2 linked regions of the Xenopus tropicalis genome follow. The protein of the gene in region 1 purifies or fractionates together with the protein of each later gene. This does not show direct contact. Links are inferred from orthologs where the notes say so. Each region holds a gene or a part of one and is shown on either strand. Other genes may lie near its edges.

Region 1 (4,326 bases):
AGCCTCCCATAGGACTCAATGGCACTCTGCAGCTCCAACCTGGCCCAAGGAAAGTCTCCCATAGGGCTCAATGGCACTCTGCAGCTCCAACCTGGCCCAAGGAAAGTCTCCCATAGGGCTCAATGGCACTCTGCAGCTCCAACCCGGCCCAAGGAAAGTCTCCCATAGGGCTCAATGGCACTCTGCAGCTCCAACCTGGCCCAAGGAAAGTCTCCCATAGGGCTCAATGGCACTCTGCAGCTCCAACCTGGCCCAAGGAAAGTCTCCCATAGGGCTCAATGGCACTCTGCAGCTCCAACCTGGCCCAAGGAAAGTCTCCCATAGGGCTCAATGGCACTCTGCAGCTCCAACCCAGCCCAAGGAAAGTCTCCCATAGGGCTCAATGGCACTCTGCAGCTCCAACCCGGCCCAAGGAAAGTCTCCCATAGGGCTCAATGGCACTCTGCAGCTCCAACCTGGCCCAAGGAAAGTCTCCCATAGGGCTCAATGGCACTCTGCAGCTCCAACCTGTCCCAAGGAAAGTCTCCCATAGGGCTCAATGGCACTCTGCAGCTCCAACCTGGCCCAAGGAAAGTCACGATACTGAAGCTTGAATGAATAATTAAACTTTCGTACTTGTTGCAACAAATATGATTTTGTCGCACAAAATTGATGCAAAGTATGAAAAAGTAGCAGAAATTAACGAAAAAATTTTTTTTTTGTAATCGTACCTATTTGGACTTTGTTAAATCAGCCCCTTAGGGGCAGATTTAGCAATATTTGAGTTTAGAGCTTAATACATAAAAACTCACCCATGTTCTATTCATTCCTATGGGACTTTTAGAAATGTATTTATCAAATGGTAAACTCTAACTTTCACGCACTTCAAAAAATCCCATAGGAATGAAGAGAACATGGGTGAGTTTTTATGCATAAAGCTCTTAACTCACATTTTGATAAATCTGCCCGTCTAGCACAGAACACAATTACTTGCGACCAATCGAGCTGAGGCTTGGGTGGCAGCAATCTTTGCTGGAGACTGCCACGAAAGAAACCAGAGCATACTAATTTTTGTATTGAGAAAATGTATCTCACGCCCGCACCCTGACGCACCTACTGACTGTGTACGCTATACTATAGCTATACACTATACTATACCTATACACTATACTATACCTATACACTATACCATAGCTATACACTATACTACAGCATCCTTCCTTAGCATCCTTCCTTAGCAACCCACCTCCGCCCCTCACCTCAGACGTAAACGTGCCGCGTCGCCGCGTTTTTATACGTACGGTCGTGACGCCTCAGTCTCGCGAGATGAGAGTTGTGACGTCGGGGGTTAGCTGTCCGGCAGGAGCCAAGGAGCTGGGCATTAACGGCGTTGTGGGACGTTTAAGCTGCGATCCGGGACTGCGGGTTGCGTTAAGAACATCGGCACTGTTGGGCGGTATGGAATTGTACTTTAATAACAACAGAAATGCCAGACGTTCCATAGTCATCCTCTTTGTATTGCTACAGCTTTAGTGGGGAATACATTGTTGTTCATATCATTAAGTGCCTTACTTTAAGCAAAAACATTGTTTTTGGCATTACCTTTTGTTTGTTCTCTATGTTTTGTGTTATTGAGAGAATTGCAGTCTCTTGAGCTGAAGTTTCGCCATGGGGTTAGTTGTTCCTGACAATGACACTTCTATAGGCCTAAAAGCTTGCAATCCCCATGAGAATGGAGAATGGAATGGAATAAAAGCCTTATACGTAGGCAGGGGATGAATAAGGGACACGTCTGGCAGTTGGTTATATGAAATAGTTACATTTAGAGGTATGTAAAGTGTAAGCTCTGCTGACTGAGGGGGAGCTAAACAATACATACATATCAAGTAGGACAGTTATTTGAATTGCTCATATTTATCCTATTTATGACTTTTATTATACTTGGGTGCCATGCATGGGTCAACGAAAGTTGCCTACTCGCCCCCTACAGACCAGAGCAGCAGCTTTTTGGCCCATGCCGATAGCCTGCCCACCAACACACAGCCAAAAATCATCCAGGTATTATATCAGGCAGATGTGAAAATCCAGTAAGATAAGGACTGAATTGGCACATTGATGCAGTCCTCTGCCAATGGTTTCCTCAAGCCACCATTATGATTTGATTGTTTGCCCATTGACAAAACAATTGGATCATCCTGTGTCATCCCAGTGTGTTGGAGATGAAATGGCGAAAGTTCCGCTTGTTTAGTAACGTTGCCATATTATAGTGCATTCCCAGCTTAAAGGAAAACGAAAGGCAAAATCACTTGGGGGTGCCAAAATGTTAGGCACCCCCAAGTGACTTTAACCGCTTACCTCGTACCCCGAGCTGGTGCCCCTATTAGGAGAAAACAGCACCAGCCCGGGGTACCTGGAGCGGATCGCTTCCTTCTTCTGGCTTCCGTTGCTGAAATGCCAGCGGTGGGCGCATGCGCAGTAGAGTGATAAGCCGACTTTAATGTTTAAGTTCGGCTTTTCACTCTACTGCGCATGCGCGCGCAGCGAGTCAGGAAGAAGGAAGCGCCGGCAGCTACCCCGGGCTGGTGCTGTTCTCTCCTCACAGGGGCACCAGGTAGGTGGGCAAAGTCACTTGGGGGTGCCTAACATTTTGGCACCCCCAAGTGACTTTGACTTTCTTTTTCCTTTAACCCACTCTTTCTTTACTACTGTTCCTGTCTGTGTGTATATGCATGGGTTCTTTATGAAGATCCTACAACCTTTTTACTTACATAGAGGCCCTCATCTTCGCTAAAAAATTGACAGTACTTGAGATACATGCATGAAAGCAGCTTCCACATGAAACTCATCTAAACCTTAGTTGGGGTATATGAAAAGTACTATTGCCAACAGTTGAATAGTTTTTAGTACTATAGGCTCCCTTATGGTATTCGATTGTGGGACTCCGAAGCTGTCATCTTGGCAAAATATTTCCTTTTGATTGATCCCTAATTAAATCCTTTTTTATGTGGCTTGACACAATTGTAGTTCTGTCCAGCGCTGCCTTTATTGTTGGTAAATTTGTGAGAGCGAATGTGAATGAATGTGCAAGCTATAGGAAGTGGGAGATTGGGCTCACACTGCAAATGGGGAGGGGAAGCCAAATCAGTGCGACTTCCAAAAAAATTTGAGGAAGTTGACAAGTTTCTGTCTGTTGTTAATGAGTGTGTCTTTCACATGGTGCACCATGTTGCTAATAATCTGTACCTATAGGATCCCAACTGGAGATGTAAATACCTGGTTATGGTCTACCCACTGACTATAGGCGCTGCTAATCTTTGTTAAATGATTTATTAATATATATAGTTTTACTTCTTTCTTTTAAAGTATTTGTATGCATCAGCTACTGCATTGCTACATTTCCAGTGCCCAATATGTATGTATGTATTTCTTTATTTATAAAGCGCTACTTATGTACACAGCGCTGTACAGTAGAATACATTAATACAAACAGGGGGTTATTAAGATAATAATAGATAAATACACAGTATAACAATAAATGCAAATAAATAAATACAAGATACAGTTGGAATAAGTTAAGAGTCAAAGACACAAGAGGATTGAGGTCCCTGCCCCGTAGAGCTTACAATCTAGATAACAAGCTAAAGGAGGAACTGAAACAGTAGTGGCACTACTGGAGTTGTAGGAGTATTAGTAGCCATTGAAACAATGGTGAGACTACTTGGGGGGAGCGAGGATGAAAGTACACCCCTTCTATGGTGTCCTCTGGAGATACCATGGCTCGCAGACGATAATGGGTTCTTGTACAGATGGGAAGGGAATTGGATCTTCGTGCAAATTTTCTACCTAGGACCAGACAAAAGATCCTTCACACACATGCACACACACACGGACTTAATGCAAAAAGAAACAACTTGCAGCGCAGCAGTAAAGTGTGACTGATGTTTATTAGAGCACAGGTCACACACCCTGGGAAATGAAGAACATGGCTGGCCCATGTGAAATTTCAAAAATAAATCTTAAAAAAAATCTGTTCTTTTAAAAAGTGGATTTCAATGCAGGATTCTGCTGGAGAAGCTCTAATAACACTTCAGACTTCAAACTACAAAACTTTCCTAAGTGTAGTGTTTTTTTATGGTTTTTCTAAAAATTGTCATTAAATTTGATACATTTATCTTGCGTTTCTTACATACAAAGATAAAACACCAGGAGTTTTCTTAACCACTTGATGTCAAATATGCATAGGCATATCAAAGTATGTGGCCTGTAGCACCCCCAACATGAAAATCCCCCTGCTTTCATGTTGTGTCACAAGACACCGGATAACCTTATATTTTTTGGAAAATGCAT
Region 2 (3,825 bases), on another chromosome or scaffold:
GATTCTTGCCCTACAGATATTTACTTTACCAGCGACTAGCTACCTGCAATCAGTCTACTATGGGTTTCCCTAAACTTGCTCCATTTACAGTGCCCACTGTTTGGGCACTGTCTAATGTCAGTTTGAACAGCTCAAGTGATAGTTACCCTGAGCCACTCCACCATGTTTTCTTCTATTTCACTGTCGGCGGAGATATCTAAAATGAGGCGGCGTGTCAGGTGAGCCTTGTGGTACCTCATGAACACATCCTTGTTCTGCACATATTTTAGCACCAACAGCTGCAGGGGAAAACAAATACAGTCCGTTATATTTTTTTTTATTCCAGTAATTAATTTATTCCAAATATGTTTACAGGTAGGAAATCAGAAAAGAACATGTAAATTGAGTTTAACCCATTGTCATTCAATTCTATCGGTCTATTGGTGTTACATCAAGGGTGTAGCTCTTCTATGGTTTTCTGCAGTATAGCACAGTTGTAACCAACACCATCTCTTAACCTGCTGTATAATGATTGGTTTCAGCCCCTCTTACACATATCAGAGAAAGATCTCTCTCCTTCATAACAAGCCTGAGTTGGGAAGGGTGACACGTCATTTTCTTATAGAGTTTTTGCGGCTATGAGCATCTGTGCCACTAGCTTGCTGTTGTCTGGGGGCCTTAGTGAATTAATTGGTTTGCCTAAAAGGTAAGTTGAGTTTCTGCTGTTTCATATTCAGTCTCTATACAGCCTACTTAGTCCTACAGAGCCCGGTAGGTGAAGGAAGCTGGTGTACTGCTCATCAGATGCCAAATGCTGAATAACGTTAAGGTTACCATTTACCTTTGAATGCAACAAAGCCCAAATCATAGTGTAAGAAGGACACAAAATGTGTTCTGTACATACCACTTCCTTCAACTTTGCCTCGATTTCCTCAGAAGTCAGTTTCTTACTGAGTGGCGTTTTCCGTAACAACATATCACAATAGTTAGCGAGCAACTCTGGGCACTTGGACTCCGGCTGTGTTTTCAGACCCACCCTTAAATGAGAAAGAATCCCATAATAAGAATAATGATTGTTACTAACACCACATTTTGGATTTATAGATCCAGGATGCTCCTACCAAAATAATATACATTATATTGTCATAATGGGAAGAGGTACTATGGAACCTTACCTGTACATCAATTTATTTCTAACCCCTGCCCTTATCTCTACCCTTGTCTGAGGATCTATCACGACAGCCCTCGCCTCTCCCAGCTATTCTTAATTTGTTCCTTATAAATAAGTATAACACAAAATCATTTAGCCTGAGAAATATATAAATCAAAGAGAATAACAATTAAAGACACATGTGACTTACCCTTTCTGCTTTAGTGGCAATTCAAGTTTAAATATTGTTGCATCATTTACAACAGCTTTGTATGCCTGAAATAAAGGGAAACAGGGAAAATTTAAACTGGACACTTAATGCTTGGCAGAAATGTAATATTTATTGAATTGGCACACTGGCACAGATCTCTGAAGTCCAATGCAATGATTACACCAGGTTTTATTTTGTATGTATATTTGTGCAGTACATATATTAACAGCTTCTCTAAAGATGCAACAATTTTTCTTTCAGATTTGACCTTATCTCGGTGACACCCTCTTTCTCTCTTTGTCCATAATATAAATCTCATCCCAAAGAACCTATATACCTATTATAGGGCACAACTGAGATTAACGAGCTAGAATGGGTCCACTGAGCACCTATTATCATACAAAATGCAGAAACAGTATCACATATTTATTTCAATTAAACGTCATTAACCTGTAAATCAAATTGCCACAAAAACAGACGTTAAATTGTTTGCACATATATCTACATGTATGCATCTATAAAAGTTATGTTTTAATTGTATCTCTCTTTACTCTCCCCCTCCATGAAATAGACGGTTCAGTACAACATCATTTTTATACAGTCCAGCCAATGAATACTTGGTATGTCAGTAATAGGACCATGGTGCTACTCTATTGGAAGCTTGGCCACACAACCACTGTTGCTCTCAATTCTGTTTACAAATTCTAATTTCCATAGAAATTATTTTCTGTGCCCAGCAATGCCTTCAAAAGTAATGGAATAGCTTTAGAAAGTGGATTTATTTTACCTTTATATATGTTGGGCCAACATACTCAACATTTACGTAAAACAACAATAAAATGTAATACTAAAAAATGTTATATTACCTTATCTCGTGCAGTGAGAAACCGTGGATCGTCCTGGAAGGCTTCTTTTACTAGTTTACTAAATCTATTAAACAGGGTCAGTAATTGTTCAACATATTTTTCAGAATCCTTGAGACAAGTAAACAAAAAAAAGCATGGTATTAGTACTAAAGAAACCCTTCTTTTGTTGTAATGCAGAAAACAGTGTGCAACAGCAAAGCAGTTATGTGAGTGTGGGGGGCGGGGCACATAAAGTGGCATTACACCATGTTAAATCTAGAGTATTAATTCATTTTGGTTTATGTGAAGCAGGGTAACATTCTAATGTAAGGGGGAAGGAATCTCCTCTGTACCATTTTTTTTTTCACCTGCAGAGGCCTCCCTCCCCCCCACACCTCCCAACCAACACCAATATGGCCCTGCTCCCCTGTGCCTCATGTATGACAGACTGACTTCCTCTGCCCTTGATATCCAGCAGACAAAAGTATGCACAACGGAAGCCAGGACCATATCAGTTTCAAATGCACACAGTCCTGGTTGGCATGCAGTGGTCAGACATGGCAGCCATTGACCCTGCTGTGCTGCACTGCCTTTTACTGTAAGGTCTAAGGAAGCAAGGCTGTATTGAAGTGTGTGGATGGTGAGGTTTGGTAGGGCCCTCTGCTGGGGATTAAAGTGGTATGTGCAGTTAAAGCCAAGGCCATATTGGCTTTAAATGTTCTTGCTACTAGTTGGCAATCTCTGCCAGAGAGAGGGGGTCCAGTGGTATTGGGGACACTCACTGATGATGGGTAAGTTCTGAAGGGACACCTAAGTCCAGGTCCAGACTCAAAATAAGCCTTGGTATTACAACTATACAGAGTTGCAAATGGCCTACACCAGCCCAATAAATAATGACTGTCTATCGCATCTTACAGCAGCCCCTCTGGCATTTGCTAAAATCCACATATTGCCAGTCTGAACCAGCCTGAAACCCCCACAGGTGTCACCTGAGACAACCCAACAACCATAATAACAGCCCCCAACTTTTTTTTTTTACATAAATGTTGCTCACGGGTAAAAATGTTTATGGACCTCTGACAAGTAACTATGTGCATGTCATGCCATTTGCAAATATCTAAATAATAAAGAAGGAGCCTATAAAAAGCTGTGACTTGCAAAGTCACATTTGAAGCCTTCTGTGATACATTTCATGCTGGGTGGCTGAATGCTTTCCAATACTATTTTTGTTTTTTACATTATAGCAGTCGTTTCTGCTAACCACCTTATCTCCGAGTCTTGTTGTAAAAGATAAGGTTCTGGTAGGTAAAATTACCAACAGTGTTCAGACATGGCGAGAGCCAACCCTGTTACCCTACTCTGCCATTTATTATGAGGTTCAAACATGCAAAGCTGTATTTGGTGTGTAGATGGTGTGGTTCAAGAGGGAGCCTCTGCAGGGGATTAAACTGGTATAAAGGGGTTTTATTATAAAGCATGACTTGACCTGTGCCTTTCAGACACTGGGATGCACATCACCCCAGGAAGCAACAACACAGAGTGCTGCTTACATGCAAATCCTTACAGTACAGGCACTTCATCTAGGGTGAGTGCAAAGGGTGACTCAGAACTGGATTACATGTATAGTTGGAGTAAAGGTA

What was found.
Region 2: the proteins of socs6 (region 1) and cul5 purify together in Homo sapiens (affinity purification with mass spectrometry; 5 studies listed by BioGRID and IntAct, counting the BioPlex papers as one, with this or other methods). This does not show direct contact. The link is inferred for Xenopus tropicalis from reciprocal best matches to the Homo sapiens genes SOCS6 and CUL5.

What each region holds. Positions count from the first base shown.
Region 1 is NC_030682.2:101,218,973-101,223,298, reverse strand, and holds the start of socs6 (suppressor of cytokine signaling 6), read left to right. Parts: upstream 1-1,333; 5' UTR 1,334-1,435; intron 1,436-4,326. UniProt on the Homo sapiens protein: SOCS family proteins form part of a classical negative feedback system that regulates cytokine signal transduction.
Region 2 is NC_030678.2:159,951,745-159,955,569, forward strand, and holds part of cul5 (cullin-5), read right to left. Parts: intron 2,315-3,825; coding exon 2,207-2,314; intron 1,406-2,206; coding exon 1,341-1,405; intron 1,017-1,340; coding exon 884-1,016; intron 279-883; coding exon 147-278; intron 1-146. UniProt on the Homo sapiens protein: Core component of multiple cullin-5-RING E3 ubiquitin-protein ligase complexes (ECS complexes, also named CRL5 complexes), which mediate the ubiquitination and subsequent proteasomal degradation of target proteins.